Linked DNA regions of Drosophila melanogaster. The protein of the gene in region 4 purifies or fractionates together with the protein of the main gene of each other region. This does not show direct contact. Each region holds a gene or a part of one and is shown on either strand. Other genes may lie near its edges.

Region 1 (6,997 bases), on a different chromosome or scaffold from region 4:
TTTTGCATTAATTGATTTAACTGTAAGCTCTGCAATGTGCATTCCTGCAATTCTCTCCTAAGCAACTGAATAATGATCCCCGATCATTTATAGGCGATAAATGCATTTTTAAGATGCTTCTCGGCGCAGTTTTAAATAGTGCAAAGTGTTAAAGCGTTGTTTTCTAATGCAAAGACGAGTAGAGAAGAAACTATGAGTACATAACAATGATGAATATATGATAATTTTTTACCTAATCATATTTTGTTTTAATACTTTTATTTACATGTTGTGGTGACTTCGGGGGGAATGTGTTTAGAAAACCGTTAAATAATACTCAACAGGAAAATAAAAATACATTTTTGAATCGTACTATTCATGTCCAATCTGTAAGTTACATGGAATGTAAAAATGTAGTTTTATCTTCGTTTCGTGAGTGAGAACTCACGAGATATGCTCATCCCTATATGTGCGCATCCCTGGTTTTCTCCACGAATCAGCTGATAGACGCCAGTAGACCTCGCAAAATTAAACACTAGTTGCTATTAAAATGCATTTAAAAACACAAAATATTTAAAATAATTGCCAAGAAGCTAATGCGCCGCTTGTTTACATCGGTCAACGCCCAAATAATGTCGAAGAGCAAGGGGAAATCAAAGGCCGGCGTTGAAAGTGCGAAAAACGATGCAAAAGCGATGCCGGCTAAGGAAGCCAGTCCGATTTCAGTCGATAAGAGCGGCAATATATGCATACAAATCCTTGCCAAGCCGGGGGCTAAGCAGAACGGAATCACAGGAATTGGCTTTGAAGGAGTGGGCGTCCAAATCGCCGCTCCGCCCAGCGAGGGAGAAGCTAACGCCGAACTGGTCAAGTTTCTGTCGAAAGTTCTAGGTCTTCGAAAGAGCGACGTTTCTTTGGACAAGGGATCTCGATCGCGAAACAAGATAATAATGATAACCAAGGGAGTGTCCACGGTGGAGGCCATTGAGCAGCTGCTGCGCAAAGAATCCGATTCATAGATTGTTTATTCCCCCCAATAAATACTCGCTCAGAAGTTAGATTTTTAAAACACATTTGCTTGTTGTTTATTTGGTTTTATGTTTATCATCGATCGGGTCATCAAACCTTAATTATATATATACTCGATTCTTTATATAGCTCTACCAACTAGGGCGCGTATGTAGTCTTTAGTTTTTTACATAAATTACTTGGATTCTAAATTATAAGTTCTTAAAACGACAACTGCTCTTGAATGTTCTGTGAGAACCTAACCATTTAACGAGTTATTCCTGCTTTTTTATGAGTTAAGCGTATGTCTGTCGCTTATAACGCGGCAAAATGTTAATGAATACAAAATTTAACTCGGCCGTAGTAAACTCAGTATAAAAGTTCGAAACGCAAGTAAATTGTGTATGTGAATGCGAGTGATAGAATGAATTTTGGTTGTTTGTTTCGACTGGTCGCTTAATCGACCTCCTCCATGTGGGAAGCGTCCTCTGTGTCCTCAACCAGCGAGGGGGCATCTCCGGCGCTCTGGGCATCGTCGGTAGTCATAGGCTCGTCCTCGTCGATTCCCAAGCCCAGCTTGATCATGCGGTAGATGCGGCTGGCGTGCACCTGGGGGCTGTCCAGCGAGAATCCAGAGGACAGCAGAGAGGTCTCGAACAGCAGGATGACCAGATCCTTGACGGCCTTATCGTTCTTGTCGGCATCGGCCTTCTGGCGGAGAGTCTCCACAATTGGGTGATCGGGGTTGATCTCCAGCTGCTTCTTGCCGGCCATGTAGCCCATTGTGGCGGTATCACGCAGAGCCTGGGCCTTCATGATGCGCTCCATGTTAGCGGACCAGCCGAACTGCGAAGTGACAATGCAGCAGGGCGAATCCACCAGGCGGTTGGACACCACCACCTTCTCGACCTTGTTGTCCAGGATGGACTTCATCAGCTTGCACAGGCTCTCGAACTTGGCCTTGTCCTCCTCGCGCTTCTTCTTCTCGCTCTCATCCTCAGGCAGCTCCAGACCCTCCTTGGTGACAGAGACCAGCTGCTTGCCCTTGTACTCCTTCAAGTGCTGGATGACATACTCATCGATGGGCTCGGTCATGTAGACCACCTCGAAGCCACGGGCCTTGACGCGCTCCACGAAGGCAGAGTTGCTGACCTGGTCCTTGGACTCGCCAGTGATGAAGTACACGTGCTTCTGGTTATCCTTCATGCGCGACACGTAGTCGGCCAGGGAGCAGAAATCGTCGCCGGAGGCAGAGGTGTGGAAGCGAAGGAAGTCGGCCAACTTGGCACGGTTGTTGCTGTCCTCGTGCACACCCAGCTTCAGGTTCTTGCTGAACTGGTCATAGAACTTCTTGTAGTTCTCCTTGTCCTCGGTGAGCTCCTCAATCAGCTCCATGGTCTTCTTGACCAGGTTCTTGCGGATCACCTTTAGGACCTTGTTCTGCTGCAGCATCTCACGTGAGATGTTGAGGGGCAGATCCTCGGAGTCGACCACACCCTTCATGAAGTTCAAGTACTCTGGAATGAGGTCCTCGCAGTTGTCCATGATGAAGACACGACGCACGTACAGCTTGATGTTGTTGCGCTTCTTCTGGTTCTCGAAGAGATCGAAGGGCGTGCGACGGGGAATGAAGAGCAGAGCACGGAACTCCAGCTGACCCTCCACGGAGAAGTGCTTGACGGCCAGATGATCCTCCCAGTCGTTGGTCAGGGATTTGTAGAACTCGCCGTACTCCTCCTGGGAGATATCATCGGGATTGCGGGTCCAGATGGGCTTGGTCTTGTTCAGCTCCTCATCCTCAGTGTACTTCTCCTTGATGGTCTTCTTCTTCTTGGCATCCTTGTCCTTCTTGTCGGCATCCTCATCCTCGCCAACATCCTCGATTTTGGGCTCATCAGTCTCCATCTCCTTCTTCTCATCACCTTCCTTCTTCTCATCATCAGCCTCATCGTCGCTGACCTCCTTCTCGCGCTCCTTCTCTACGAGCAGCTTGATGGGGTAGCCAATGAACTGGGAGTGCTTGTTAACAATCTCCTTGATCTTGCTCTCCTCCAGATAGTCGGTCTGGTCCTCCTTGATGTACAGCACGATCTTGGTGCCACGGCCCAGGGGCTCAGAGTTGTCGGCACGGACTGTGAAAGAGCCTCCGGCAGAGGACTCCCACACGTACTGCTCGTCATCGTTGTTCTTGGAGGTGACAGTCACCTTGTCGGCGACCAGGTAGGCGGAGTAGAAACCCACACCGAACTGACCGATCATGGAAATGTCGGCACCAGCCTGCAGAGCCTCCATGAAGGCCTTGGTTCCGGACTTGGCAATGGTTCCCAAGTTGTTGACCAGGTCGGACTTGGTCATACCGATACCGGTATCAATGATGGTCAGAGTACCAGCCGTCTTGTTAGGGATCAGCTTGATGTACAGCTCCTTGCCAGAGTCCAGCTTGCTGGGGTCAGTAAGGGACTCATAGCGGATCTTGTCCAGGGCATCGGAAGCGTTCGAGATCAACTCGCGCAGGAAAATCTCCTTGTTCGAGTAGAATGTGTTGATGATCAGGGACATCAGCTGAGCAATCTCAGCCTGGAATGCAAAGGTCTCTGCTTCTTCTGGCATCTGCAATGGATTTACAAAATCATTAGGATTAGTTATAGTCTGTGGGTTCAACACTAAGGAAAAGCAGCTGCATTTTCAGCAGCTGCTCCGGTTTTATTCTTTTTCTTTCTTTCTCTTTTGCACATGCCTCATTTAACATGCGCATATACAAGTACAGTGGTGGTCAAAATTATAGCATTCACTTTGCAACCCGTAAAATGGAATTTTAATTTCAATTAGCCAACAGAATTGATTTTAAGTTGCAAAATAATGTTTTAAATTTAAATATTTAAATATAATTATGCAAATTGGGTCGGTTGATAATTTTTCTACCCCTGCTGTGTGCAAACTCGTGTCTGTGTGAGTGAGCATTGCATTGAAAATTCGTACTTCACCAAGGAAGTTTGTGGAAGCATCTAGAAGCCAAAGGAAAACTAATTCGCCTAGCAAGTTGCTAGTAGCAACCAACCAATTAAAATAGAGCAAATAGGATTAAAAAACCGATTTAACAGAATTTGCTTACTGACGCCACATTTTTACTTGAAAGTATTAGTCATGGGCGTGCATGTGTGCGTATGCGGCATGTGCAATTTAAAATGGGAATGCAAAGAAAGCACGTGTAATTGTAAATGAAGGACAGTAATTTATAATTAAAAAGCCTATTTGGCACGCTGTTTAATTCATGCTAAAGCATAGAAACCTCTAGAACATTCTCGAGCGGCAAATGTGATTTGCGCATTGTCACCCCCTAAAAAGAGCGGCATAATTCGATTTAGCGCTAAAAGACCATTGCATTAAACAAAAATTAATCTTGTATTCTATAAACCACATGTAATTGTAAATAAAGGACAGTAATATATAATTAAAAGGCCTATTTGGCACGATGTTTAATTCATGCTAAAGCATAGAAACCTCTGGAAGATGCGTCCAAGCGACAAAAAATAAAAGAAACCGGCATTTTGAGTTAATTTGCACGTTGCCACCTCTTAATTAATCAAAAAAAATTCTTAAACTTGGCTCCTAGAAATTTAAAATCAATATCTCACATTTGGGTCAAGAACATTCGAGATGCACAGGACCACGCAAAATGCACATTTTGGCCATAGCCACTGATAAACTATTCACTCTTTTCTTGTAATTTGCATTACTCACCTTGTATGTATGTTTTTCGTTCTATTCACAGAATAAAGGTAAAAATACAGATATTTTCACTTTGCTTTGTATAGAATTGGAAATTCACAAAACTTTTCAGACGCTGCTTGTTGTTACGACGCACACCGTACGAAATTTTTTTCAAGACTCGAACCGGCAAACGCCGCGCGTCTGCTTTTATAGAAAAACCCGACCCGAACTGGAAGTCTCTAGAAACTTCTAGAGGCTTCTGGATGCCAGGGATGCAACTTCCTGTGAATACTAGGGTAGATCAGTGTTGTGATACGGTCGAAAAGTGCGCAACCTGTGCGGGCGAATTCAAAAATTATACTGAACTAAGTTTGGTGGAAATTCGTCTAAGTGGTCCGAACGATTGAGCAAAGCCCACTGGGATTGCTTAAAACATTACAATTGGATATCAAAACGCCCACTAGGCTTATACTGTAATTAGGAAAATGGAAAATTTAATTGTTCCCAATATTATTTTACTTGTTTTAACAGTAAATAATAAACAAATCAGCTTATGACCTGTTAATTTTTATTTATATTTATGAATACTTTTCTCCACCAGACTATCGATATTTCCAGAGTTTCAGAGACTTGGTGGTGCAAGCTGGTTCCTCTGGAATAAACTAGTTCCATTTTAAGCGGACGGTAAAATTTGAAATCACTTGAGTGGGTTTGGGGAACAAAAATTGGAAAGTTTTTGTTGTAATTAGCTAAAAAGCAGACATTTCACATTCCGGAAAATAATTGCTTCTGTGCAAAACCTGCTACAAGCCCAGTCAAGTAAAAAATCTCTCATTAATTAAGAAGTGTCATATCGATCATTTGGTTTCGGTCAATTCTGTTATCGATGCCTCCCATCGATATCACCAGCTGACGCTAACACTTCCACCACTAATAACATAAAAGTTGTTTGCTTATATTTAAACAAATGGGCGGCACTAAGTGTTGTTTTCGTGATTGTCCGGTGGGTTCTAGCCGCAACCCCAATATGCACTTCTTCAAGTTCCCCGTTAAGGATCCGAAGAGGTTGAAAGATTGGGTCAGGAATTGTTCAAACCCTGACGTTTCAAATGCACCGCCGTCCAAACTGGCAGCCAAAACAGTTTGTGCCCGGCACTTTCGAGCGGAATGCTTCATGAACTACAAAATGGACAGACTCATCCCAATGCAGACGCCCACTTTGTTCAGGATCAACAGGGATCTGGCACTAGACTATGAAAATCTCGACCAGAACGGTGAAGCTCTTCTCGTGAAGTTGACGCCTCCAAAGCAGCAACACCTAATACCACCTAAAGATTTCGAGTGTCCTCTGGGATTCGTGGATGGTGAGACACAGAATTTGGATGTTGTTAAGAAACGAAATACAGTAGAGTTGACAGAAGAGGAGGAACCGCAAGGGAAAGACGAAGCCGACGAAGTGCTGGCTACGGAGCAGGAACAGCCGGTTGTACACACGGAGAAAACAACGGTGGCGCATAAGAGTTCTACAACATCAACAAGCGCTTCGGCTATGCCTCAAAACATTCTAGATATCATAAGTCAACTTCAGCCTTCATTGGGCATCAAATTGATTAAAAGACCAGTAAAGCGTCAATCAGGAAGCGAGAATGAGTTGTTTCAGCTTGAAGAGCAGCTCCCAAAAGAACAAACTGATGATACAAGCAAGATGCGAACAGTCACCAAGGAATCAGAAAAGCAAATTAAATCAAAAAGTTGTATTATTGACGTTATGAAAATGCCAAAGCTTGCCGATAAATGTCAAGAAAAGCAAGTGCCAACTAGAAAAGAGTACCGACCAATTAAAGGGACTGTGGTTAGAAAACGTGGGATGCAGGAGGCAGATGCTGATAGACTGAACGAAGATGAATCCACCAAGGAGCAGGCTAAGAAAAGGAAGCTACCCCAAGAAGCACAAAAGACTGACTCCCACGCTTCACCTGAGAACGGTACGATATTGAACCGATATACACAATTGCAAGAGAAATTCTGGGATGAGCAGAAGACTCCGATGTTGGAGAAACCCACCCAATCCATCCAAATTAATCTTAGTTCTAGCAAAGAAAATAGTCAGAGTGATTCCATTTCCGAAACCTTATCTGAATCTTTTCTAAACCTTGAAGAGAACATACCACTTAGTACTGACAGTGAGGACGAGTCTGAACCAGATGAAAAACCATCTTCATCGGAAGATGCCCATCGCGATAAGCTTCTTCAGGAGTACGATAAACTGCAGGCCGAGTTTGAAAAGCTGTCTGAGGAG
Region 2 (5,503 bases), on a different chromosome or scaffold from region 4:
GTACCTGGAAATTCATTTCTTTGAGGCCTGGCTTTCGTCCACTGATTGTTCGGATCAGGATCTGTGATATGCCAGCCTGTTTTGCATCAAAACCGCTTATTTCGCCCAGAAGCTGTTCCACAGCAGCAAGGCGGTTCTTCCAGTTGGAATCCACCAGCCCATTAAGAATTTCGGCTGGCAGAATTTCTTCGGATTTTTCTTGCAATTCCTCGGGGGTTATTTCGCGTTCCGTGGCTAGGGGTTTTCCACCCGCTTTAAGAGCTGCAGTTGGGGCAGATGTAGCTCCTCCTCCACTAACCGTCGCCGGTTTTTTCAAGACCTTACGTGCCCCTGTAGTGGCCGGTCGGGTTACTGGCTTAGGGTCCACACTACCAGCCACTGTCTTAGCCGGAGCAGCAGCTTTCGCAGTCGGTGCAGATGCAGGTCGTGTCTCCTTCTTTGGACCTGCAACCTTTATTTTAATCTCCGCCTTTTCTTGGCACTCCTTTATCTTGGCCATTTTGAGTGGATCGACGTCGGCGAGCAAAGGAGTCACCGCTTTGTCTCCCATTAGCTTTATTAAAGTACCAAGAGCTTCGGCGCTGCTGTCGCGTACGGTTGGATCTGGTTCGTTAAGCGTTTTCACTAGACTGGTGGTCAGAAGTTTAAGCAGCTTTTTGTTTAGCGCGGTTGGTTGGGTGCGGGTTAGGGCACGGGCAATAAACAAGGCCGTTTCGGACTTAACACTTGGATTTTTGTTGGACAGGGACTCTACAATGGACTCTTGCTGGGCCTCTAGAGAAGTGGAGGCGTATATGGCATCAATAGCTTCACGCAGCGCTGTCACAACATTAGGTTTCTTCTCTTTAAATTTTTCCAACAGGGATGGGACACAAGCCTGAAATAGAAGAACACATATGAAAACACGTTATTTGGAAGAAGGTGAGAGTTACTTACGGATGCGTAATTTGAGAATCGCTTTGCCAATCCTTTGGCTAGCAAGGCTAGACATTTTCCGGCCATTGCAACGAGGACTACGTTGGAGTCCTTGGTTATAACCTTTTTAAGAGCGCTTACCAGCGCTCCATACTCGCCATTCTCTAGCTTGGGGTGGTCAGTGAGCAGTTTCTCCAGGACTTCCAACGATTCTTTGCGCAGAGTCCATTTCTTTTCCTCCAGCTTATCGTAGAAGTCCTTGGGCATTTTGGAGAGAATGTCAACGGGGTCTAGAAGATCCATAGGATCGATTTCTTCAACGCCAGCCTCGCCATCATCCTCTGCATACGAAAACCAAAATCAAATCAATAATTCACTGCTTTTGTAATATCGAGGGCTTCATACCATTATATGCATCCTCGGTCGCTGCAGCATCGGCGATCTTCGCTTGCTTTTCCTGCTGGGACTTTAGATATCTAAAAGTAAGAGCGGTTTAGCTAGGCAATGATAGAGAGAAATCCTTGAACACACCTGGAGGGTTCAACGCGTTCACCTTTGAGTTTGTCGAATTCATCCTCCAGCTCCTTTAGCGTTACCTGTGGTAGCGTTGAGATCTGTGCCTTCATTGCAGCTCCGATCCAACGGTAAATCTCAACAGCCAGCTGCTTGCCCTCATCTCGGACCGTCTTGTCTCGGTCAGACATTAGCGGAGCAAGCTTTTTAATTAACGGCTTGACGCCGATCACCTTGTGTCCGAACTCGCGGAGGGCCAGTGTGGTGGCTGCCACGCAGGCAGACACAATCTTAGGGTTCTTGGCCTCCATACCTTTAACCAGCTCTTCGACGACGGCCTCCTGCTTCTCTATCTCCACATACATTAGAGCCACTTGGACGGAGAGCTCCTTGGTTTTGGTCTTTGGCGCCGCAATGCACTTCTGAACGATGCCTGTCATCACGTCGCCTACTGTGCGTCCCGCCAGCCCGCTGTTCTCCACAAAAATGAGGGCCGCTTCTAGACCCTTTTCCTGGGCCAGAGCATTAGAGTCCACTACCATCTTCTTTATGAGCCCTGCAAATTTAGACCATTCCGGCGACTTCTCGTCATCCAGCTCGCGAAAGATCTTTGCGGCCTCCTCGTAACCATCGACGCGGGCTTTCCATAGTTTATGGACACACCGCTCCTCCACCGGCAACTTCTTGTACTCTGTGTCCTCGGCCATTGTGTCGTGTTTCGTACGCTACTCGGGTTCTCCTCAATGGTCTCAGTCGCAAACAGCCTCAAGCAGCATTCTGCGAAACAAAAAGATAAATATGTATAAAAAAGCTACTTTAATCGAATTTTTCTTAAAAGAAAAACTAGCCAAGCTTCCAATGAAGCAGAACTATTCCGGATGTCAGGAGTCATCGAGCTGATGTTTTAAAATTGAGCTTAATAGTCTATGAAATACCGATGGCCAAGGAAGCAGAATCATCCATCCGTTTCGCTCGAGGGGCGGAAAAAAGTAAATGGGTCGGCCATATTTAGATTGTCGTTTTCTAAGTGCAGTTATTTGGCAAACAGAAGCAGAAATAGGAGAGTGTAAATTTGGATTTTCGGAAAAGGTTGGTGGGCTTGTCACCCAGGATGGGTGATATCATGTCGCTGAATAGCGCGTTATTTTTTCAGTCAATTAATCAGGGGCACGGCAAATACCCCCCGCACAACCACTACAAAAGGTGACACACGCACACGAAAGCCTGCGACTGAATCAGGCGTGGATTTTCCATCACTCCCATTTATTATTCATGCATCTGTCTCTTTAATATTGTTTTGATGCGCTCCTACTGTGCTCACGTTTGAGTAGAGCATTTTTCAATTCGGATATGCCCGCGCTTTGTTTCTTCCTCTCTCTTGATTTCGCTCTTTCAAGCTCTCACGCACACCGACGCTCTCAAGTTCGAATTAACGGATCATACCGCAGGCAACAACAAATGTTTCTCCTGTGGGCTGTGTGTCTGGATTATGCCGTCGTTTACCGTTCCACCCAACCGCCAATGGTTGCAGCGGCTATCAATTTCCAGTGGCTGCAACTTGAGAGCCGCAGATGAAGCACATATCGCCCATTTTAGCGACAAACAAATTGCGACGCCCTGGAACAAAATCGCGATGCATCCGAGTGCATTCCGGTACACGCACTAGCACACTCACCATCAGAATTGTGATCCAAGTACCGCCGTAGAGCGGGGACTGGGCGAGGAGCTGCGGGACTTACAGCTGGCCAGGGACAGCGGCTTGAAAGGGCTGCGCAATGCAATAACTTCGATTTTTCGCAGGCGACGACGTACCAACACTTACACACGGCACAACACAGAAGCACGCACACTTATTCGACAAAGACACACCGACGGGGTCTTTCCGGGATGCCAAGTAATGTAGCAACAATGAACAATAACTTAACTACGTTTCCAGCACTTCGAGCCTCTTTTGTGCAGCGGAATTTACTTGGTTTCGCGGTAGGTAAATAAATAATAATTTTCGCAGTTTTCCAACAGCGTCGTTGCGCCAGTGTGACCGCTACTCACAACTCTAGCATCCCCTAAAACCTAGAATTAGTGTGCTGGGTGGAAAACTTTGATAGGTACGCGCTAAATTTTAAACATATATTTCCAAATATTTGGCCAACATTGATTTCAAGCGATTACCACAGGCAAATATTTATTTGATGTTTGGGAGCATTCCCGTGTAGAACATTAACTAAGAGAGATTTGACATTCAGCATAAAAAAAGCCAATTGTATAATTGTTATGTTGTATTTATTGAGCCATCGCTTTCGATGCGCGTGATCTCCAGAAGATGAATAGTGTGTCCGCCCATAAACTCCAGCAGATCCACTCCCGACTCCTTGCCAATGTCCTCCATGCTGATGGGTAAAGCCTGCAGCTTCCACTTCTTGAGCAGCGCCTCTATGGACCAGTCGGCGCTCCGCTCCTGGTATGTAAATATAAATTTGGCCCCGGCATTTCGCTCCAGCAGAAAAGCAACTGTGACCACGATATCCTCGAACACGCTGGGATCGTAGAAGCAGTCTGCTGCAATGATAAGGTCCAGAGGCGGCAGTCGGAACACGCTGTTCAGCAGCAGGCCCCAACTCAGGCCCACCACATCGATATCAACGCCCGGCTGCAGTTGATTGGCCAGGCAGGACTTTCGGATATGGGCCAGTGACTTGGGCAGAATGCAGTTGTCAGTAAGTACCACTTGGGCGCGGCATTTGGCCGCCAGAATGCCGGGCAGGGCGGTGCCGCTTCCCAGCTCCAGGATGCGCTTGCCCGCCAGTGTCTGTCGGCGCTCCCACAGGAAGTGGGCTAAAATTGGTGCGCAAGGCCATGTGTAGAAGGAGTAGGCACCCTGAAGCAGCTGTAGGCGGACACTTTAGATACTACACGAACACCTGGTTCTAAGGATTACCTCAGGTATTTTGATCTCCAGTCGCTCGGCGGGTGATCCGCTGAAGACAAACTTGCGGATATGCTCGGCAGTGGCTGTGGCCGCCACAATGTCATTGTCCTCGCTGCCGCTCTTCATGTGGAAACGCATCTTAGCTCAAGCATGCAGGAGTATTACTATTTTCACTAAACTAAAGTTATTTTTCAGCGTTTTGTTTACAACCTGTTTGATTAGCGATGTCACTTCGTTGCGATAACTTAATCGATAAAAATTGAGGCGAGTGAAGCAAATAGTGACCGAAGGGTGACTTCAGTAGCAGTTGACATTTTAAGCCACCATTTCTAAGCTTCAATTAAAAACGTTTTTGGGTATCCCAATTCGTCCAGTTTATTTAAAGGTATGCATCCCAATTGAAAGTGGCTGCAGCTGAGCGCTCCTCTAAACAAAATTCTCGTGACCGCGATTGCTGCTGAACGATGACTAGTGTATAAGCAATCGAATATCGCAAATCTTGTATGATCACTGTGGTGTTTTGCTTTTCCGATTGCCATGGAGGGATTCAGATTCTTGGAAGAATGAGCTCCGTAAATAAAATAAAGCTTAACGAAAACAACAAGATGCACTCTTTTGGGAACTGGGAGCGGTGCCGGAATCTGGGAGAGGGCGGATTCGGCCTAGTGATCCATTGGCGAAACCGAACAACGGGCCGTGAAATTGGTGAGCTATAAACACCTTATGGGCTAACACTAATATACATATACATATAAATATTTTAAGGATTTTCTTTTTCGCAAACACACATTACCAGCCCCCAAACACCCTCCCCCTTTCCAGCCTTACTCATAAATAAATAAATTTTTTGTTGTATTTTGTATATATCCAAATAATAAAACCATAAAAACAACATACATATACATATGAACATGTTTGTTGTCCAACAATTCCCAGAAACCGAGCTGAGGCATGCGTTTCCGGGTGGTCCACTGATAGTGATAGAGGGCTCGAGTTTTGCGCGTTTGGTGTGGTCTCCGCATTAGATATGTCGCTTATAGCCTTTCGGCTGAGTTAGCCGATATGGCAGATATTTTAAGCGTCAGTCTTAAGTGTTTATTTATTTTCCACATAGCCACCAAGCACATAAAGGAGATGGGGGCCCTGAGT
Region 3 (4,496 bases), on a different chromosome or scaffold from region 4:
GCAGCGAGTGTTGACGTTGAGCCACCAGCAGCGTATGTATTACATATACATATCTCTTTCGTATTAATACCGAGAATCCTTGTGTTTTCAACAACAGTTTGATAAGTTTACCCAACTTTTTTTTTTGTAATGTCGTCCAGTCGACTTCAACTAGTAGTACGATTATGTGTTTTGGGATTATATCAAAATGCACAGCTAAAGTAAACCGTTTTGCGATAAACTCTTCGTTTACACATTGCAAATATGCATGACACTTCTATTAACTATTTTAGTTCACTGCGCTTATGCGAATTTCAACTATAGGTAAAAAATTCTTTATTTATCATTCAGCTCGTTTTAATTTTCGTGTGCTCGGGATCGCCATCTTTGTTCTCTTCGTGCGTCATCTGTAGCGTTGCGATTCGATAAGAATCGATAGTCCCTTCGATAGACGTACACCTCGACAACCTTAACGCACTGTTTACACCGTTGTCGTTGCGCGATAAACAGGTTACATTTTTTAACTTTGCACTTGAAAAAATATGTTTTTGAGACAATCAGGATAATTTATTTGTATAAAATTGCATTTTATACTGAAATTAAATAGAAAAATTCTAAAAAGAGTAGACTCTGTTATTAAGCTGTGCTATAATTTTAAATTAAATTCAGAAGCTTAAAACACGACGAACCAGGTAAATGGGTTGAAGAAATTTATATAAAAACTTAGTATAAGTGTAATAAGAAAAACTTTGGGTTTCAATAGCTATAACACCATTTGGAAAATCCAATTTTCAAATCTACTATAAACAACGTATAAGGAAAAATAAAGAAAAAATATTAGAAATGTGTTTTTATAATGGTATCATAGCTTCATACAATTTTACTAAGGTCCTCGTTTTTAGTCCCCATAAATCCAGGAATTATTTCGATATTCCGCTCTCTTAAGACATTCCCCGGACACAAATCCTAATCATAGATATTAACAGGTATATGAAAAGTTTATTGCATTGGAAAAACAGTTTGTTGTGCATTTAGCTCCATCGGTAATGTGCGTAGGCGCGGTTGCTTTCGCACAGCCTGTGCAGATCGTCCTTTCGCTTGATGACCCTTCCCTGGCCATGGGCTGCGTCGAGAATCTCCCAGGCCAACTTTTCCGGCAGGGACACCTTACGCTCCTTCTCGCGGGCAGCTTCCAAGAGCCACTTCATGGCCAGAAAATATGACCGCTTCGTGGTGATGGGAACAGGGACTTGATAGGTGACACCACCACGTTTTATGGCGGTCACTTGAAGGAGCGGTCGGCAGTTTTCAACCGCTTGTTTCAGAAGCGTTTCGGGATTGGTGTTTATGGTTGTCTTCTCCCCTTTGGCCAGATTCATGTGCTCCGTCTGGGTTCGTTTTATTAGCTCCAGCGTCTTGGACAAAAGCGTTCTGGCCAAGGCACTGTTCCCCTTTTTCGTTATATAATTGATCATTTTATGTTTTGTATCGTCGTGAAAGATGGTATCAGACGATTTGTTGACCGCCGCCTTGATGGGCACATGGTAAAGCTTGGACAGATCATTCTTTTGCTCTAGTTGTTTATATTTTTGTACAATTGGTTCGACATAGTGTGTGGGATACACCGACATCAATCGAAGGCAGCTACAATAAACAAATGGGTGATCAGTCATTTGTGTTTTTAGAGATAAGTAACACTTTAGAGAAGTTTAACTTACCTGAGCCTTGAAGTTTTCTCTGCAATCCTACCTAAAAGCGACATGTTTACATCGTCTGCTGTGTCGGCAAAAAATAAAAAAACTATGTTATATATATGTTATGCACATTTGCGGCATGCATATAGGTGTGTCAAGATATCGACAAAGAGCTTAGTAATTTTGAAACAACAAAAATGAAGTAAAACAGTTGCGGTATTCCAATTACATTTTTTAAATTAATTTCTTTAGTACCGTACTACTGGTACTCACCTTCAAAAGATATAAAATAGAAATTAATTGCACCAAAAACTCATAAGTTAATTAATAGTATATTAGCAGAAACGTTTGTCTCCGAACTCAAACAAAGTGATGTCTTAATTAATTGAAATCACTATAAAAAAAAGCGTGGAATTTTACAGTACACTAAAATTAACTTTAAAAAAATTAACAACATTTTTAAGATACAGCAATTCAATAAGTTGCCTGAATATTGAGTTTCATTCCCACATTCCAAATGAATAAATGTAGCTAGCTTAGCATCGTTTAAACTGTCTGGTAATACTAGAGCATATACGTCAAAAACGCGCTAATTTAAAAGTCGGTGGCTTGCAAAGAAATAGCTTAATAAATTATGGAGGATTTTGAGAAAATTGAGAAGATTGGCGAGGGCACATATGGCGTGGTGTATAAGGGTCGCAACCGCCTGACGGGCCAAATTGTGGCAATGAAGAAAATCCGCTTGGAGTCCGACGACGAAGGCGTTCCATCAACCGCGATCAGGTAAAATGCCGCGGCTTGGACGCCCAAGCCTCAAAATGTTTCATGTTCTTTCGCGACTTTTCCATTCAAATGGCTTATATGCTTAATTGAAAGTATGTTCCTTGACATCTTATGGGTTGGTTTGAAGATTTTGCAATATTGTTTTTAATTTATACTGTGGAAGTCTAGCATAATTATGTTACGGCTTATGTTCATCATACATATGTGTGTGTATGTACAATCCTATATGCGTACTTATGCTCATGTGTACATCATCATACTTTCTATTTATGTTTATTAATTGGAAGCCTGCGAATACTTTCTGGTTCAACTGATAGACCAATAACTAAAATACTTTAATCACATGTTTTTTCTATAATGTAGTAATATTTAATATCCATTACAGAGAAATTTCGTTGCTTAAGGAGTTGAAACATGAAAACATTGTCTGTTTGGAGGATGTTTTGATGGAGGAGAACCGCATATACTTGATCTTTGAATTCCTATCGATGGACCTCAAGAAATACATGGATTCGCTGCCAGTTGATAAGCACATGGAGAGTGAATTGGTCCGTAGCTATTTGTACCAAATAACTAGCGCCATTCTTTTCTGCCATCGTCGGCGAGTACTTCACCGTGATCTTAAGCCGCAGAACTTACTAATCGACAAGAGTGGCCTCATAAAAGTCGCCGACTTTGGACTTGGCCGATCCTTTGGCATTCCGGTGCGCATTTATACGCACGAGATTGTTACCTTGTGGTACAGAGCGCCGGAGGTGCTACTGGGTTCACCCCGGTATTCCTGTCCCGTCGATATCTGGTCCATTGGATGCATATTCGCGGAGATGGCAACGAGAAAGCCGCTATTCCAGGGTGACTCGGAAATTGACCAGTTGTTTAGAATGTTTAGGTAACCACAGGTAATTTACTTTCTATTCCCTGTGATACTCACACTCATTGATTGCAGAATTCTGAAAACACCTACCGAAGACATTTGGCCGGGCGTTACTTCGCTACCCGACTATAAGAACACGTTCCCCTGCTGGTCCACGAACCAATTGACCAATCAGTTAAAGAATCTCGATGCGAATGGTATTGATCTCATACAAAAGATGTTAATCTACGATCCAGTTCATCGCATTTCCGCCAAGGACATTTTGGAGCATCCCTATTTCAATGGTTTTCAATCGGGCTTAGTTCGAAATTAACGTTCGGTATTCTCGTTTGACTTTAACTAAGAATTTTAAAACAAGAGATCTTGGTATCTAATCTAAAGCAAAATAGCCGTAAATAAAACTAAGGGTGTAAAACAATCAACGTTTACTTAATTTATGTAAGTGTATTTACAGATTTACGCCAAATTACCAGCGCTCTAACAGAATAATAAGGCTTCAAGGCTTTAATTATTATACAAAAAGAAAGTTAAATATGGAAATCCTCGTTGAAACTAGTCCTATTATAGAGAGCACTGCTAGCACCGCTGTCATGACGTCTAAAGACGCCAAAGCAGCCGCGCCTCTTCATCACGTAAGCACCAATGATGGTCGGCACCGCGATGAGCAGGACAACCAAGAGTCCAACCCATATAAGACTGCCCGTCGAACTTTCTATCATATGTTCATTCGCCACTCTGAGCAGCGTAACATCGTTTAACTTGTTCGGACCGCCACATTTGACATCTTTGGCCAGAACGGGCGTGGTCTTGTTGATTCGATCTATCAAGACGTTGATCAAGAAGTCATTGGATTCGTCGCAATTCCACGGGTTGAATCTAAGATCCAGAGCCTTAAGTTTATCCCAGCGCACTAGTAGTTCTTTCGGCAAAGTCGACACGTTGCAATTATTCAAGTAAACCTAAAAGTTTATGTTATTTAGTTGATTAAAGCTCTACATGCTTTTGCACTTGAATTACCTTTTCCAATGGCGGGTAGTCCAAGTACTGGCCACCAGTTACGTTCTTGGATAGAGCCTCCTCATCAATTTCATTTAGCAGTTTGTTGTCGGACAATATCAGTTCAGTTAAACCTAAAGAAAGATGGTTGTTCGATTAAGCCATTAGCC
Region 4 (6,739 bases):
GGCATGGAGTTTTTATGACGCCGATTGCCACTGGCAGCCAACATAAAATATGCCAAAAGGGAGGAGCAGCGGAGGTGCCGAGAAAAATGACTTTCTTTTTACTACATTTGTTTGACCGTAAACAAGAATTAATGAGAGTCATAAAACCGTCAAACTTAAATTTCGAACAGGCGCACAGCAAAGTCAGCAGGCCGTGTACAGTGGGCGCTCTATAAGGCGAACAAATGTTGAAACTCAAACTTTTTACCTAATGCATTAATTGCTACTAACGAAAACTATTTGAAATATTCGTTCGATAATTCGCTTATATGTTTCTTAAGAACTTAACTATAAGGTTGCCTTTATTTGGCTTTGTATCGAGTAACTACTGTACATGAGAAAAGTGAGATAGACACCCACACACACACACGCACAACCATGTGCGAGCAATGTGCTCGGCAATTACCGTTGCCCATGGAACACGGTACCAAAAAAAGGGAGAGAAAAGCGTTAAAAAGGGAAGAAGGAAAGGGAGAAGCGGAAGAGAAGTAACTGACCTGCGATCGGGAAGGTGACCTTCCCCAGGGGCGCCGACTATACATATGTTTGTATGTATGTACATAGGTGCAGGGTATACAGAGGTATATCACTGTACATATATTGTGTATTCAGGATTGATAAGAATGCAGGACAAAAGGACCTCCGTCCTTGGAAAAGGGTCTGCGTTCATCTCAGGCTGTCTGGTTTTTTTAGGGGTGTGGAAAATTTCTCACACTTATCAGCTGTCGGAAAGATTTCAAAACTAATGAAGTCACATGGCGGCACATTGCATGCAAGGTAAACACGAATATTGTTTATAAAATTATACAAAACTTTATTTTCTATGTATTGTTCAGAGACATTTTTGGGAAACATCAGTTAGTTAAAACGTGTTTTAATCGTTGCTTAGTGGTAAACAATATAACTAGCATAAGTTGTTTTTGTATGAATGTGCGAAATACATGATATAAATTACAAATAGTCTACGTCTCTTTTTTATGCGATTTATGGGAATAATTTTGCACAATTTTTTGGATTTATTCATTCCCATCGAAACTAAAAACTAACGACAAATACAATTAGTGATAGGTAGGTAGGGGATGAAATGATTTCACGGGTACAATTATAAAATATAATTCTTGGAGAGACAACGCCGATGTGTTCGGCCAGCAAATGAACTCGTTGCCCACTCTCTCTCTCGGTGTCCACCGCTCCGCCGCTCGCTCCCACTGAGATGGTGACCCAGCGAAAGGAGCTGACGGGCTCCAGTTTAGTTCGGTTCCTAGTCTTACCGGAGGAACTCACTCCCAGCGGCCGGCTCGCGAGCAACTTGTGCTCCGTGGGCAAAGATGCCGGAGCCAGCTCTTGGCAGTAGCCGAAAACTGCTCAAGGGACTCCAGCAGATTACGATATCTTAGGGATGGGTGATGCAGGTAAAGATAGTTGGCAATGCGACTACGGTAACTATACGCATTTTTTAACGAACACGAAACGAACAGAAAATGAAATACGCTACAAATTTAAAAATGAAAACAAATTAAACTAAACTAGGTAAGTCAGGGTCTTCCAGTCCGCCTTGGACCGCACTATTTCCTCTGGCTCTGGCCCACAATCGAGTCCATCAGCGCACCGGTCAGCTCCGTTCGCAGCGCGATCTTCTGGAACTTGCTGCCCTGGTACTTGTTGTAGATGGCCTTCAGCTTGGCCTGAGGAGCGTCCCGGGCCAGTTTCGCGATCAGCCGGGTAATCGGACGCAAGTGCGCGGCCGAGTATCGCGAGTAGAAGGTCAGAGTGGGCGTCCAGTGACGGTCGTTGAATCCTGTACCGGCCCGGTGGTTTCCATTGAGCAAGTGCAGCGACAGGAACAGTGAGGCAGCTGCAATCTAAAGGCGCCGCAAAAAATATTACATATACCTATGCTAAATAAAAGGGGATAGTGTATTGAAACCCACCTCCGATGGCCTGTAAGTGGCCATTTCGTAGTCCACGGAAGCTAACTCGATGAAGTACTTGGACATCGTATGGTGCTCGTCCTCGGCGCCAGCAGCCTTCGAGTAGCGTCGAAGGAAGTGAATCGGCAGCGGACGCGACAGATTACAGTCGATGGCCTTGAAGATTTGCAGCTCCATCTGTCGGATCTGCCGGGCAGTGTAGGTGTCGTCCGTGATGAAGACGAAATCTCCGATTGCCGGCGGGAACAGCTCCTCGTACTTGGTGGCTATGAAGAGTGCTGTCACTCCCACCAATTGCAAGTACGTGCGTTTGGTGTCCTTGACCACCTGCAGGTAGCGATCAATGATAGCCACCGCCAGCTGGAAGGTCTCTGCAGCCAGATGGAACTGCAGGTGGACTTCGTTGATCCAATCGATCAGCACGGCTCGCATCTTGTGGGACACCTCCTTCTGTCCGGCCAGGTGATCCTTGTGAATGGGCTGCTCCAGCTCCACCTGATACAAGTAGTCGTAGATGTCGTTTACATATTCGGAGACCAGTACCAGGTTCTCCTTGTCATTGGCATCAATGTCCTCGATTCCAGCCAAGCGCTTGCTGGAAAGGGACATGGTGGTGGGCATCGTAGATGTGGTCGTAGTGACTGCACTGTTGCCCCTAATAAGGGGCATCCTGGTCGCATCCTTTTTCACTTCCAGTGAGTCCTTCTTGGTTTCTGGCAGTTCCTTCTTGGTCTCTGCCTCTTTGCGGGAAACAGCTACTGGTTCCCGTCGAATTCCTGAAACTCCCATCACGGGTTTGGCCAAAGCGGCACGCAGTTTGGTCAGCGACTTCTTCGACAGATTGCTGTCCTCGCGCTTTAAGGTGGGCTCGTTCACGTTCTCGGAAGAACTGGACTTGACTGTAACTTTGGGGATTCAAGATGAATTGGGGTCAGTATGATGCAAGCCATTCAAAAATTGGAAATGGTAGATGATGATGATTGGTAGATGATTGCTCTTTTGCTTACCTTTAGTGGGTTCTACAGTGGTCTTGGTCGGAACGCGATTGCGCACCGAATTCGAACGCAAAAACGCCGACACGCCCCCCTCGTTGACCTTGGGCGGAACGGCGCCATTGCCATTGCCATTGGTGCTGCCCAGTGGCTGTTTCTTCCAGTGGCTGTCCACCCGAGCTTTGGCATTGCGCAGGGCGTCTGTGAGCTTGAGATCCTTGGAGCTGCTCGGTGGAGTAACCACATGTGATTGCGAATGGAATACTTGATACTGGTTCAAACACTTACTCTTTCTGTGCCGCATCCTTCGCTGCGATGGGACGACTTATGCCGCGATTCTGCAAATCGCCCAAGGCCGCGCGTTTTGTTGTTGCCTCCATGGAAGGAACCGTCAATTTCTTCAATTGCACTTGCTTGAAGTTCTCCGAAGCGTTCTATCGAATATTGTTTAATTAGTTTTAGAAAACAAATGGAGAAGTGCAACAAGTATAGTTGAATGCATATCTGCACTTTGAACCCTATTCTTTAACATCTTTAATTATTGAGCACTGATTTTAATTATTTTAAATTGTTAAAGCAAGATCAGTTTGTTGCATAATAATGACTTGATCATGAAATGCACCTTTTCAAGGGCGGCCATTTTGGGAAAAGCACCGCAAGACTGATCCTCGATTTATCTCCTCTGTGATTTGGTGCGAAAAATAGGTGTGGAGAGTACTAATTAACGGTGCAAGCACCGCCGGTAGAAAATTGCGCCAAAATGTGAGCAAGGCAACTGCAACAACGACAACAATGAGCGCCCGGGACAAACGGCACTCTTTCTTTTCCCCCTCCCTTCACACACTCATCGCACTATCGCAGCGTCCTCTTTGCCCCTCTCTACATGACCACGCTGCAATGGCGTCTCGCTGATGACGAGCCCACTAGTTTGTGACTTTACCATGACCTTTTCGCGGATGCCACGGTAATCTTAATGTTCTAGGGATCAACTCACCTCATCGCCACGCATTTTCAGTGTTGTGCCCACCATTTTGATTGCTTCTTTTCTATCTGTACAAACACAATTAACACGAAGATAGGCAGACGCTTGGCTATCACTTGGTTTGGTTGACTTTTGATCGCGTTTCTGTGACCGAACGCTTGTTTAGCTGTTGAATTTGTTGTCCGAATATATGATTACTAATAGTTTATAATTTACAAGTCGAGTGCGGGATTGTCAATTCTCCGAAAACCTGATCGAGTTTTTGCACACGAAGCGAGGCCAAGCTGCCGTTTGAATTTGAAAATGGGAATGGGGATGGAAGTAAACTCGATGATAAATGCCGATGAGTTTGACGATATCGATTTCTGGACTTAGTTCCCTTTTAAGCCGCAGTGGCGCTCGAGAATAATCGATTTATTAGAGCAGAGCATGCAAAATAGAGATGCGATACGTGCGATAATTTTCGATAGTTTTAGTGTGACCAGTACTGGTGCACAGCTTATCGATGACAGGGCTGAAACAGTGCTACCCATAAATTTCAAATTTAAATTTAAAATTAGCCGAAAAAGAAAACGTTACAGTTTGAAATTTCTGTTAGATATTCAAGCTCAATCCATTTTATACATATTTTAAAAATGAAAACTTCATGGATTAAATTTGATAGTTGGTTAAGGTTCCCCATTTTAATAAAGCCATCGCTTTGACTGCCAGTCGTCACTCGGTTGCACCATCCATTGATTGCATCAATTAAAAGTTGATCACTTCAATTGGCTGTGTTCGGTTTGTTTTTGTGCCCCCCTGATTTGCATTCGCTGATTTAAGATTTCCTGCTGCCACAGGCCGCAGAACATCGAAACTCCGCGGCGGAAATGCAGCATAATTCTTGCCACTCCGCAGCCTTTTTTGCTGATGATCAGTGTCAAGTTTTCGTCTGCTCCATCATTTTCAAGCACTTGACCACAAAACAATCGCCATCGCCTCAGAATTTTGCCTCTGTTTTTGTTTAGTACCCCAAACTCTCCTGTTTTTTTTTTGTGGCCCTTTGCTGCGTCTTAACGGTTGGCGCATTCTTCTTCTCTTCTTCCGGCGCTCTGGCTCATTAGCATATATTTATGAGTCTGTTTGCGCTCCAAAAGTACTTTTGCGAACTCCGGCCAAAAAGCCGAACGAGAATGGAGCGCCAGCCGACGATCGCGAGCTCGAGTTTTCCGTGATTTTCACATTTCATTCGCAAAAGTGCCGCCGTCGCGAGTGGTTGCCTCGCTCTCGCCGCCTCTTTCTGCGCTTCTGTCGCCGTCTCTTTCGTCGCCACGAAAAAAGTCCTTCGATCGATCCAACGCGCATTGACCTCCAGTAAATCGTTTCAAATTTTAAATGCCCCAAAGCGGTCAGATTTCGGCGTGATTTAGCGATTTTTAGTTAAAAAATATACATATAAAGTGCTTTTCGGCTATGGACATAAAACCAGAAGATCGTTATGCTCCAGAGCCGATGATCTATATGCCGTGTGTGTTTGTTGCTGGCTGCTTAATTGTGCGCTGGCGTTTAAATAAAATCAAGTGCGTTTAAATGACAAAAGACTGGCATTATATGTACAATATATTGGCAATTCAGAACTGGAGCTGGAGCTAAAATAGCATTTTTCAAGCACCATTTGGTCTTATCTCGAGTGTCGATCCATAAGGAAGAACTTAGGCAACAAACTAAAGTACACCAGCCACTAAAATAAAACGAAACATAAATAAGATAGAGTGCAAAAAAAAAAAAAAAGTGGCCCACAACAAATGACTCGTAATGCAATGCCTGGGCAATTAATTAGTGCATAAACATTTGAATTAACAGCCGTAAAAGTTGGAGCCCCGTACACGATCGCGCCTTCATTTGGCTCTCTCTCCCCTTTTGAGAAATCGGGCTCCAAGTTTTCCACCCTCGATTTTCGCCGCTGGAAAATGTAACTCCGCTACCACTGAAAATTATGACGCAAAAAAACCGAAATCGGTGCGCAGCCTGAGGAATAATATATTTGCAATTTATGCAACAATCGTCGCGTGGTTGTTGCCACAACAAAGAGCGATTAGTGCACTAGGAGCATTACAATAGCCACCTGTGGAGTCCCAGAGAAGCCGTCATCATCAACGCATCGTTATGACTGTCGCAGCAATTGGATCTAATCGGCACCGTCGTTTGGCTTTAATTGTTTTGACCACCTTGTGGCTGCTAATCGGGGCCAGCAGCTCCTCATCCTCCACCTCCTCCACCAATCCAAAATCCGTCAACATTGAGCTGCGTCGCAAGAGGAGCTTGCACTACAATGGCATTGAGGTGAGTCCCGATATCAATCAATGCTGCCTCATTGTCGTCCAATGAATGGCACTTTGGCTTTGTGGCTGCACGACGAACTGCAAAAGTAGAACATCTTTCATTGCAACTTAAGGCTTATCAACAAGGAATGTCTTTAGTTATTATATTCTTAAGGTCAGGCTTGAATCATGTGACAATTGTATTTATGGTAAAAGTTTACGTTTGCGGTGAGTCAGGATATTAATCAAACTATTGCTGTGGCCTCAGAGTAGAATGATAAGCGATATATCTTTACACGATCACACTGAAAACTTTAAAGTGTTAATGGAAAAATATCAAAAAACTAGTAAATTTCTATCTAACGGTTAAAACAGCTAAAGCATGTCATTTTATTTATTTATTAAGAAAAAAAAACGTATGCTCGATTTAATCACCAATATTTTCCAAGTGTAAGTGCTCTTGAATGTCATACGATTAACCCATTTACAAACACA

The links.
Region 1: the proteins of CycB (region 4) and Hsp83 purify together in Drosophila melanogaster (affinity purification with western blotting; one study listed by BioGRID). This does not show direct contact.
Region 2: the proteins of CycB (region 4) and msps purify together in Drosophila melanogaster (affinity purification with western blotting; one study listed by BioGRID). This does not show direct contact.
Region 3: the proteins of CycB (region 4) and Cdk1 purify together in Drosophila melanogaster (affinity purification with western blotting; 8 studies listed by BioGRID, with this or other methods). This does not show direct contact.

What each region holds. Positions count from the first base shown.
Region 1 is NT_037436.4:3,191,099-3,198,095, reverse strand, and holds Hsp83 (heat shock protein 83), read right to left. Parts: upstream 5,128-6,997; 5' UTR 4,729-5,127; intron 3,598-4,728; coding exon 1,444-3,597; 3' UTR 1,037-1,443; downstream 1-1,036. Other genes in the region: CG14966 (uncharacterized protein), read left to right, coding at 576-998; CG14965 (uncharacterized protein), read left to right, coding at 5,666-6,997. UniProt on the Drosophila melanogaster protein: Molecular chaperone that promotes the maturation, structural maintenance and proper regulation of specific target proteins involved for instance in cell cycle control and signal transduction. Undergoes a functional cycle that is linked to its ATPase activity.
Region 2 is NT_033777.3:16,048,777-16,054,279, reverse strand, and holds the start of msps (mini spindles), read right to left. Parts: upstream 3,480-5,503; 5' UTR 3,104-3,479; intron 2,403-3,103; exon of another isoform or gene 2,364-2,402; intron 2,206-2,363; 5' UTR 2,136-2,205; coding exon 1,447-2,135; intron 1,392-1,446; coding exon 1,321-1,391; intron 1,257-1,320; coding exon 937-1,256; intron 878-936; coding exon 1-877. Other genes in the region: CG5013 (uncharacterized protein), read right to left, coding at 3,698-4,312, 4,364-4,492; IKKbeta (I-kappaB kinase beta), read left to right, coding at 4,960-5,059, 5,469-5,503. UniProt on the Drosophila melanogaster protein: Binds to the plus end of microtubules and regulates microtubule dynamics and microtubule organization. Function in neurons is essential for adult survival, and is important for climbing behavior and activity.
Region 3 is NT_033779.5:10,383,989-10,388,484, reverse strand, and holds Cdk1 (Cyclin-dependent kinase 1), read left to right. Parts: upstream 1-2,222; 5' UTR 2,223-2,307; coding exon 2,308-2,456; intron 2,457-2,841; coding exon 2,842-3,345; intron 3,346-3,402; coding exon 3,403-3,643; 3' UTR 3,644-3,746; downstream 3,747-4,496. Other genes in the region: mRpS7 (mitochondrial ribosomal protein S7), read right to left, coding at 1,011-1,623, 1,698-1,741; CG5096 (uncharacterized protein), read right to left, coding at 3,858-4,289, 4,348-4,460. UniProt on the Drosophila melanogaster protein: Plays a key role in the control of the eukaryotic cell cycle. Required for entry into S-phase and mitosis.
Region 4 is NT_033778.4:22,802,690-22,809,428, forward strand, and holds CycB (cyclin B), read right to left. Parts: upstream 4,260-6,739; 5' UTR 3,993-4,259; coding exon 3,957-3,992; intron 3,811-3,956; exon of another isoform or gene 3,603-3,810; coding exon of another isoform or gene 3,585-3,602; exon of another isoform or gene 3,397-3,584; coding exon 3,251-3,396; intron 3,187-3,250; coding exon 2,978-3,186; intron 2,876-2,977; coding exon 1,971-2,875; intron 1,902-1,970; coding exon 1,605-1,901; 3' UTR 832-1,604; downstream 1-831. Other genes in the region: stl (stall), read left to right, coding at 6,090-6,266. UniProt on the Drosophila melanogaster protein: Essential for the control of the cell cycle at the G2/M (mitosis) transition.